2 linked regions of the Caenorhabditis elegans genome follow. The protein of the gene in region 1 purifies or fractionates together with the protein of each later gene. This does not show direct contact. Each region holds a gene or a part of one and is shown on either strand. Other genes may lie near its edges.

Evidence for each region.
Region 2: the proteins of nhr-60 (region 1) and gei-8 purify together in Caenorhabditis elegans (affinity purification with western blotting, with the first as the bait; one study listed by BioGRID). This does not show direct contact.

The regions. Positions count from the first base shown.
Region 1 is NC_003283.11:15,769,471-15,775,055, forward strand, and holds nhr-60 (Nuclear hormone receptor family member nhr-60), read right to left. Parts: upstream 3,772-5,585; 5' UTR 3,757-3,771; coding exon 3,706-3,756; intron 3,651-3,705; coding exon 3,416-3,650; intron 3,004-3,415; coding exon 2,636-3,003; intron 2,586-2,635; coding exon 2,482-2,585; intron 2,428-2,481; coding exon 2,221-2,427; intron 2,124-2,220; coding exon 2,017-2,123; intron 1,151-2,016; coding exon 891-1,150; 3' UTR 798-890; downstream 1-797. Other genes in the region: F57A10.4 (Sensor histidine kinase), read left to right, coding at 1-127, 171-282, 326-464, 514-607, 656-773; nhr-283 (Nuclear Hormone Receptor family), read right to left, coding at 5,476-5,585. UniProt on the Caenorhabditis elegans protein: Orphan nuclear receptor. Required for embryonic and larval morphogenesis and probably for seam cell positioning and migration.
Region 2 is NC_003281.10:8,118,167-8,123,212, forward strand, and holds the start of gei-8 (Nuclear receptor corepressor 1), read right to left. Parts: upstream 3,067-5,046; 5' UTR 2,895-3,066; coding exon 2,887-2,894; intron 2,640-2,886; coding exon 2,553-2,639; intron 2,497-2,552; coding exon 1,850-2,496; intron 1,605-1,849; coding exon 1,532-1,604; intron 1,482-1,531; coding exon 1,292-1,481; intron 212-1,291; coding exon 1-211. UniProt on the Caenorhabditis elegans protein: Mediates transcriptional repression by certain nuclear receptors. Plays a role in development and neuronal function. May play a role in muscle-specific oxidative mitochondrial metabolism.

The sequences.
Region 1 (5,585 bases):
CAGTTGGCGTTGCCCTGATTGCTGTACTTCTGAAGGCATCAGGATGGACTCTTTATCGAAAGAATATGGCGTTTGAACGAGTCGATAAGCAGATTCAAATGGATATTGAACGGCTTTTTCTAAATACGTAGGTTATAATAACATGAAACGTTTTAGAAATTGATTTTGAGATTGTCAAGGCTTGCGGATTTCAATATGGACTTGCCGGAAAAAATCACGATTCTAAAAATGGAAAACGAAGAGGGAAATACATTCAGCGAACCGTTTCTCGTCGGCAATTCGGTTAGAAGAATGCCTAAATAATATTTAAAATGGAAATTCTCAGTGGGAAGTTCGCGCCTATCATTATGCTGGTGAAGGACTTTCAAAATGGTGCTCAGGATTCGCTTCGAGGACTACTCGACAGTATTTTGATTACAAAAATCGGCGAATCGATGTGACGTTCGACTGCAACTCCAAAAATGGTTTTTTGCTAGTAGTATTAGTATTAAAATTATTTTAAAAATTTTCCAGTTTTTCCTCCTCTTCGAACAATCATCGGCGCCGTTCTAACTGGAATGTTCTTCATCGCGACGCTTTTGGTTTTCAGATTGTTTTCAGCAAGATTGTAGGATTTTTTTCAGAAAATATCTGTTAAAATGTTCATATTTTTCAGTCAAATTCGTAGTGGTGCTACCATGGATGCAAAAGAAACACCGATTTCCTTCGAAGAATCGTTTTTGGAAATAATCGAAAAATGGGATTCTGCAAATATCGATTCCGGTTTTGAATAACTCACATATGTACTTATTTGTGTGTGTAATTTTTATTGATTTTTGTTAACTAATATGTACATTTCCCATTTATTCACTTTTATTCTCACTAGTGAGAGAACTCGAATTATTAAATATTTACGAGTCCATTATATCTTCTATAACTCGCATTACAAGATCCTTTGGCAATTTCGCTACTTTCGGAGCCACGAGAAGTAGATGCAAATCCTTTTGCATTCTCTGCTGACGTTCGAGAACATCAATAATTTGAATTAATTGGGCGAAATGCGGGGGACCATCAGACCGGCTTCGGAGACAATAATTAAAAAGAGCATCTGCATATTTTACTCGCTCCAGTGAGATGATTTCCTGGGATTTGGCGGAGAGATCGGGGACGGCTGGAAAATTCCCTTTCCCCTTTAAATGTTGCGATTTCTGAAGCTCTACTACGGTACCAGGTACACGAGATAAAATATTCAAACGATTTTTAATTCGTTATTTTTTAATTTTCGTAAAAAAAGGTTTCTAAAAAAGGATCGATAAAATTGCGAACAAACAAGGAAATATTACAAAACCCTAAAATTGTGAGAATGCGTATTGCGCAACATATTTGACGCACAAAATATCTCGTAGCGAAAACTACAGAAATACTTTAGAAGACTTGTCGATTTACGGGCTCGATTTTTGAAAAGCAACAAATGGAGGCCCCACGAAAAGGGGAGCAGAACGAAAAGGGGATCTGCAAAAAGGGGATCTGCGAAAAGGGGAGATACGAAAAGGGGAGATACGAAAAGGGGAGCAACGAAAAGGGGAGCTGGCACTGTGCCAAACGCACAAAACGCAATTTTTCTCACGCAACGCACGTTGTTTTTTGAAATTTTCTTCTAGAAGATACGCTTAACAACACGCGATGCGTAACATCGGAGCATCGTTGTATCGTTTTCTTCGAGAAAAATAGCGTTTGGCACAGTGCCAGATCCCCTTTTCGTATCTCCCCTTTTTGCAGATCCCCTTTTCGTTCTGCTCCCCTTTTCGTGGGGCCTCAACAAATGAGTCGAGCCCGTAAATCGACAAAAGTGCTACAGTAGTCATCTAAAGTATTGCTGTAGTTTTCACTACGAAATATTTTGTGCGTCAAATATGTTGCGCAATACGCATTCTCAGAGTTTTATGTTCCCGTAATATAAAAAAATACTTTTTTGCAGCTTATCCCAAAAACCTTCGGTCGTGTCGAGACCGTATTATTGCATCGCAAAATAATTACCTGGATTACATAATACAATGGCTTTCAGTAACAAATATTCAATATTTTTAATTTGACAACGGATCAACGGTGCAACAGACATCACAGAAGCCGAATAATGGGTATCGCTGAAAATATTCAAGATTTTTTTTTCAGAATTAACTATTCGCTGCAAAAGTAATTGTACACTTCTCCTCGAGCAGTACGCGTAAAGCCAGGACTCACTTGAAAGTCATGGGTTCCGATCCGTCAGGCTCAATGATAACCTCTAAATTCCTTCTAATCGATGAGTACGAGATATGAAGGTTCGTACAAGCCAATGCCACGTGCCTAGTTAGAATCAGCTTGTCTCGAGAGCTGAGTCGATGAAAGAACATGAACGTTTTGGCGTATTCGACAGTTGTCAGTAAATTGTAGAAGAACCATTGTTTTCTGAACAATAGAACAAATTTCGTGTGAAAGTGGTGAATTTCCAGTTCAACTTACATGTTTTGACTGTGTTGTGAGTCTCTCGGTTTCCCTGGGGATGGTGGTTTCGGTAGTCTTGGCGGACCTAGCTGATCCCTTCGAAGAGGCCATCCGGGCATAGGCTGAAATTTGAACAGGATTGAAGAATATGCATAAATCATTTTCAACTTACCCCGAATCTATCGCCAAATCCGATCCTACACTCCGACTCCAGCAGGTACTCCAGCCCGCTGAACTCATTCCAATGCGGGTTATACGCGGATTTTCGAAATCTTTCAACTTTTGTCTCCAAGTAAACCAGCATGTCGGTTATGTTTTGCATTTTGCTTTCTATAGAATCGACTGGTTTTACAATTTGCATTTTATTAACAACAGCCGTCACTTGACAGTCATCATCCGGCTCTAGATCCTGCGCTCGTTTCACTAGTTTCTTAAAGTTTGACGACGACGCTGCTTTCTCATCAACTTCCATTGCAAGGGGGTTCATTCCGACAGATATGCATTTTTGATGGCGGCATGCACGGCATTTTAGAGGCACTTCTGAAAATGTAGATCAACTAAGTTTTTATAAGAGCTGGAAAGGACTTGGGTTCGGTAATTAGACAAAATAGTATGTTTCGTACTTCAACCAGTATTGTTTTGCTAGTAGCTAATTTAACTGAACACGTGGTGTCCAAGTGTCTCATTTCGGCTTGATCTACGTAGATCTACAAAAAATGCGGGAGATGAGACGCAGAGTTCTCAACTGATTTCGTATGGTTAAGTACGTGCTGACGTAACATATTTTTGAGCAAAAAAATTGTCGCATTTTTTGTAGATCAAACCGTGATGGGACAGTCTGGCACCGTTGGGCCATAAGCTAGACATGTATCAAAAGTTTCGAAAGATTCGTATGGACATTCCGTATTTTCTAAAAAGGTTTTTGGAAAATCGGCACAGCTCTATTCCTTACTTCGTTTTGTTAAATCAAAACAATCTCCTTTTGCTTTACATTCGAAACTCCGATCTGACACGCACATTCTTCGGAAAAACGTCTTGCATCCATTGCACGATGCCACGTCATAGTGATGACCATTTGCTGAGTTTCCACAAATCAGGCATTCAGTTGGGCGTTGGGGTTTTGTTGATTTTACAGCAGTAGGCGACGGCTCGTCTTCAGGTTCGTCAGCAGAGAAAGTTGAAAGAATCTAAATGTTAGTTTTTTTATTGTCAAAAATATTGGTCTAAAATGAAACAACTTACGCTTGGAAGATCTAGGGAATCTTGGCTTATTGAAGAACTGGATTGAATCATATGGACCTACAAATTCTGGAATTAGATTATTTGGAATAATAGTTATCCTGACAGAAACAAAACAAGTAAGTCACCAGAAATATAGATCAGTGCAAAAATTAGAGAAAATTCTACCTCCAAAAATCCCAAGAACAATTAAAACTTAGCAAACAACTGCTTTCCTGCTTTTGAAAAAAAGAGCCTTGAAATTAGCAGAACATGCAATGGAAAATATTAAATCAAAATAACAAATGAGTCTCGCCAAAATTCATATAAAAAGTTGCATTGTTTCAATGAGGTGTTTATTCAATTTGTGATTGCACACGCCTGACCTTGAAAAGATGGATATCTAGTATGTTTTCGATCAGAGACCGTGTCTAAAAAGTCCTTGTTACGCAGGGGTGGGATAACATCTAGTACTATCGAATTGCGAACGAAGGACACAAGAAAAAAGTAGGTGTAAATGTATCAAGAATTTTCAAAACATTTAGGATTCTGTTTAAATAAAACGTTTTTTGGACTCTTACTTATTGAAATTTTAGTCTTAAACTGTTAAAAAAAATTTTATAACGGGGTATCAGAAATGTGAGCAAAAAGTGATGTCAATTTTCCTAAAGGGATTGGAATTTTAAGCAGGATGCATGAAAAAATTTGTGTGAAAATTTGTGCAAATAATATTCATTCGCATTATATATTTTGTTCATTTTTTGATCAGTTACCCTAGCAAAAAACTTTAAAATTCCAAAAAAAAACATATGTATGTATTTAATATAAAGTCTCATAGAAACATAGCTCTATTATGCTTTAAAAATTAAAAATTAAATCAAAAACATGCAAAAAACCATTGAACCAACGTGCACTTCACTAAAACAATGAAAAAAAAACTGAAAAAGTTGAACCCTCCGATTCCACGTGGGTGTCTGCAGCCGTCTTCGCGTAGTCAGGGAAGTACACAGCAGGGGGAAGAGAAGCAGACAGTGAAAGAACAGGTGTACCTACAAGGAATTCGCAAACATTACATACAAAACGGAAAGGGGGTCAATTGGAAATGGACTGGTGTTGATCAGGGATGAATAATATCGAAATAAATGGCAATTGAACGTCAAATTCGCATCGGTTTTAGTCAATCTCAAATTGAGCACTAAAAGGTATGACTGAAAATCCACTGTTTCTACTTGAACTCAGCGGATGTGAAAACATTATAAAGTTAGTTTACAAATTCTGAAAGAGCACAAAATTTACAACAAAATGGCTACGGGGATTTTTGAAAAAGTTAGTTTGAAGCCAGATTTTAATTTTTAAAAATTGAAAAATCTACTAATTTTACATATAAAGGGTCGGTTTTAGTCAATCTCAAATTGTGCACTAAAAGGCTGCAATGCTTCAAAATGTCGTGGCTCAATGAGGTTTTAAGCATCCGACACAACTCGAGGATCGTGATTAGCATGTTGGGTTCATCGCCAACCTCGATTTGTGTCCGCTGCTGATCACCTCGGTCTGCCTGCCTGCATGCCGGCCCTCTCTCCGTCCACCAGCCTATCTGAATCCCAGTATCAACCTACATAGAGCACAAACCAGAGTAAAGAGCACATTCCTACAAGAATTCGGAAATTACATTTTTTTTGTTTTCCAAACCAAATATTTATAATTTTTTTTTCTGATTCTGAGCAAAGATCTCGAAGAATACTTTGTGTGCATCATGTGATAAACAATCATTTATTCTGTCAAAAAACAGGATGCCTATCGGAAAATAAAGATCTTCTTCAGTGCAGAAGGTGGCCCACGGATTGAGTTAAGAATGAACAGGTACGATATATCTTGACGAGTTTTAGTGACAACTTGAAGCACTG
Region 2 (5,046 bases), on another chromosome or scaffold:
TCATTGGCTGAGTTTTGACACCATTCATAGCATCATATTGCATTTTGCACTCATTCGGTCGACGATTCATTCCTTCCGAAATGGAAACCCAATCAAGTGTCGGTGATGAGTTAATTAATGTCACAAGTTTTGTCTTTTCATCATCCGTCCAACCAACTTGTCCCTCATAGTTCAAGAGTTCTGCCATTATTGTTTCCTCTTTGTTGTTCACCTGAAAATATTTATTGTTTTTGTTGCTTTTCATATTTTTATTTTCACATTTTAATTTCTCATATCAACGGTGACAGGTACCGTGTTCTCTTTCCCAACCATAAAAGAGCCCATTCTCTCATGGGACTTTACAAATATAATTTTCGACCAACAAAATCGCCTTTATCACTGAGAATGCCGTGCATAGAATATACAACACTTCCTGGTTTAATAGAGTAGGATCGTTCAATTCTGAAGCTTGCTTATTCTCAGCACACTCCTTTCAAGAGATGAATGTGTCAGAATATAAATGAGAAAGATCAATCTCGAGCAAAGCACAATGTTTGGGTTTGAAGAGGGCCCAAAAGTAATAGATTGTCATTCTTGAACAAAACATTTCTAAAAATTTTTTAATCATTAACGTTTTATAAACTGTTGTACCTCAGAATAAATATGTGGAGTTGCTAATTTTCATTTCAAAGTGAAAATTTTAGTCTTACAATAATTGTTATTGGTTTTCAGTGGACTTTAAGCGTACTAGATATCAGTCTCAATACACCGAAAACTGATAAAAATTTCTAGGTTTTTTTTTCAATCGATGTTCCTTTTGCAATTTGACGTATTTAATCGAATTAAAAAAGATACCGGAAGAAAAGCGCGAAAATTTGTCGAAAAATATAATTTTAAAAATTCCCGATAGTAAAAAAATGATAAAACAGAGTGAACGAATATGTTTTATTTTTTATTCGAATGCAAATCAGTCACGAATCACACATGATACTGTACTTTTATGATCTCCCTATTATCCGAAAATAAATGTATGTGCATGAGAGAGAGAGTGTCGTATCAAAAAAGAGGACCACCGCATTCACCCTTTCCAAGTAATTGCATGTTCCTCCGATTATGAGCTCTCACTTTACGACCCTACATCTTGCTCTTTACTACTACATATTTCCTAATCCACAAAGGATGTATTGGTTAAAAGATACAAGAAATCGGGAAATCGTTTTTACAGTACAATTCAGACCCCTCGTTGATAACTTTTTCGGATGTCATATGGTTGTTTTTCAGAATAGTAGATATCCCCGTTTTAACAACTCACATCATTAATCCACCGAGTCAAGGCATTCTTGCATGGAGTACAAAATTTGACAGCAACACGTGTCGATCCGAGTTTATCCATGATGAATGCACGCGTTCTGACTGGAAAGTCGGCGAAATCTAGAGGAATATTCCTATTGACTCGATTTGCTCGTTTCTTCTGATTTGAGCATCGATTACCAAAGCACCGACTGAAAATTATGGTAATTCTAATTATGTTTCAAAGATTTCTACAACTTACTTGTCTTTATATAGTTTTGCAGCTTCTTCACGACAACCCGAACAAACAACTCGATCTTCATCAGGACAGATAGCTGAAATATATATTTATAGATACACACTTCTGACTTCTCAAATTTTTTATTGTAGGGTTGAAAAATGTATTCCTATTTTATTTTTTTCAGATACAAATTTTCACATCGCCTAGAACAAAACGAATCAGAAATTGCAGGGTTCTGCGTCGTTTTCTCTACGTCTGTGAAAAGGTGGAATTCGTCTCAAAAGGGGATATAAAGGGAGATTGAAGATTTTGAAATACAAATTTGAACATTATACTTACCAAAAATTTCATAAGCCTCTTTTGGCATAAATGTTCCATTAAGATCGATTCCGTTGACTGTACGACAGCAAAAATAACACATTAGAGAGTTTTTGGGAAATGAAGAAAAATCCAAAGGAGGCATCATTCGAAAGTATGCAAGCTCTTCAACCGATGGAAATGCTCCAACTTTATATTTTGTGACTCGTTTCTTAGGTTTGAAGTCCTTCTTGTAGTCTTCGGTTTTCTTGTTCATATAGTAAAAAAGCACAAGATCCGATGCGGTTTTATCAACAAAAAACTCGGTTAGTCCATGGAAAATCTTCACATGATCTGCTTGTCGACTCTTAAACAATGATCTCTCTTCAGGGCTCCATTCTTCAAGACGATCCAACACTGATTGTCGATGTTCTTTCTTCATATCTTTCAGAATTGAACCGGGTCGTTCCACAAATTCATCCATTTTTCGTTCACTCTCTGTGAGAAGTCGTGGGATTTTTGCAACACCTAGCCGAATTTTCTTGTCGGCGTGCTCTTTTGCCAGCATACTCTTCTCATCTTCACCGCGGATTCGTTCAGCACGAGCCCATCGTTCTCGATCCTCCCGTTCTCTTTTCAGCTCTGGGAATTCAGATTCTGCTTGAACACGATGAAACTCTGCGTATTCTCTGTAAAAAATGAAATTTAAAACCTAACTTTCTCGGAGAAATTGCTTAAAACTCACTTTCTTTCTGAAGTTTCTTCCCATTTTTGAAGATCATCTTGAAAGGCTTTGAACTTCTCATCATATTCACGGGCGAGCTCTTTGAAGCTGAAAAAAATTGGTTATTTATTAAGTTTTATTAAGTATTAATTAATTAAGAATGAAGTTGGAGTATCGAGAATGGAAATGTTTGTCGTTTTGAAAAATCACATTTTTTAAAACTTGGATATTTAATTCTTTCTGGAGTTTTTAGAAAAATTGGTATTTCTGAATTTTAGACTGAAAAAAAAAATTTTTGAAATAATAAACACAATTGAAGCTACCCCAAGATTTTCCAACTTTAAATTATACAAACCTTTCCATGATTTCTTTGTATCTCTTCGCAGTCTAGTGTCGTCTTTCCCACCGTCCCGATGAAATACAAAGACGACTTTCGACCGGAAGAGCAATTTTCTGATTATTCAATGGTCGTTTTACACCTCTGATATCCTATTCCCTCCTTCCACTTGTGATTATGTGATAAGAGGAATAAAACCTGAAAATCAATAAATAAGAGAAAAGAAAATTTTCAGAACATAGAAAAACATAAACTAAACGAAAAATAAACGGAAGTCAAGCATAAAAAACATAATCCAAAAGTAGGAGGATTAGCTTGGTTTTCATTTAAAGGTTAACATGATTCTAATTGGTATTAAGTGTTTCGAGAATATGAAAAATGACAAATAACTAAATGAAAATTTTAGTTTTCCAAAATTGTTCTTAAAGTCTATTTTTTTCGAAAGTCTCTTCAAAAAATGTTTTAGACTTCTTTTGGCCTACACTGGACAGAGAACACTCCATTTTTCAGAAAATTACCTTATTTTAAGAATAGTTTTACTTCGCGTAAGGCAAAATAGAACTTGAATGTTTGGTTTCTAGAGCATCTAGTTGTGAGCAACATCATAGTATCGCAAATATTGGATTTAAAAAAGAAAATAGAGTACTTCGAAAATGACAGATTAGCCTAGTTAGTATTTTAACAACTAATCAATTTTCTCATAACTTTCTTAAATGAGTTGTGAGAGCAATGATCCAAAAAATGAGACTGAAAAGCGGAAGACAAAAAATAAATCTAGATTCTAATGTCCCCCTTTGCTCTCTTCATCTATTGCTACGCGAACTACATTCCTTATTGCATATTCGTCATTGTCATCAACATCATCAGAATAAAAGAAGAAAATAAAGAAAATAAGAACACGAAAATAGTGAAATAAATGAAGAAAAGGAACATTGCAGATGTTATGAGAAAGAAAGACAAACAACCGAGAAAGTGAAAGAGATAGATAGGAGATTGGATTGAGAGTATAAAAGTTCAGGTGAACTTAATTAGCAGTCGGGGCAAAAACGGGGAAAAAGTAAGCACGGACACTTCCAGGAAGTTTGGATTAATGGAAACGTGCGCTCATATTTTTTTTCTAGTTATTTTCTAGTAACAAACCCATGAGCAATTATCAGAACAAAACGTGTTTTGTTGCGAAAAAGCTGGAAATTCAGAGCAATGGACGCGAATAAAATTTCAAAGAATATCAGAAATTAAATAATAGGAAACGTATCTGGTGACTGCAATATCGTTTTTGGCGAATAACAATTCTTAAAAGATGAATAGAAGTTAGAGATTGGTTGTTTTAAAAATAAGTACACTTATAATTGTGGAAAATAGGGTCTATCAACTTCGACTTGATACTTAAAAAAAAATTGTGAAGGTAAAAGTTGTTTGGAAAAATGAGAAAATAAATATGAATCTTGTCCCATAGTATGTATACCTACGAATTTTACTAAAACTGCAAAAGATTAACAAAGAAGGAAAAATTAAAAGACTATCTTTTATTGAACTATCGTATTTTTCATTTCCAGTAAGAAAGATAAATCCGTATTTATATTCAACAATATATATAATTTAGGATATTTAGTGACATCTAAAAGGGCAACAGCTGCATAAAAAAACCCGGCTTCTCAGGCAGAATAACATAATATTAATAGGAACGTGAAAACTAAAACATCAAATAGACACGGAAATGAGCAAAAGATGAGAAGCTGCAAAAAAGATATGAAAATGAGGAGAAGATGATCGGATGTCTCTCATTTTTTGCTCACACTCATACGGATTGATGCAGATGAAAGTGCCAAAAATGAATGAGAACGACAAGAATGAATCCATCCGATTTTCATCTAACACCTCTCTCTCTCTTTCCATTTTCCTCTCTCCTCTTCCGATAATCAACTTTTTCTTTTTCAGCATCATCAATTGCATTGCTGGCAGAAAAGTGGAAAAACAGAAAACATCGGGTGCAAGCGCGTGAAGTCCAGTGAAATTCTGAATCCGGTGGGAAACAAACTCGGAGTTAAAGAAGAGTGTAGTGCAGAGTTAGGAGAATTGTAGATGATGGGGTTATGATATTAATTAATAATTTTAGAGGTAATTAATAATTACGCATAAAGTTTATGTATTTTCTATGAAAAAGCTAGCGGTCCTTTC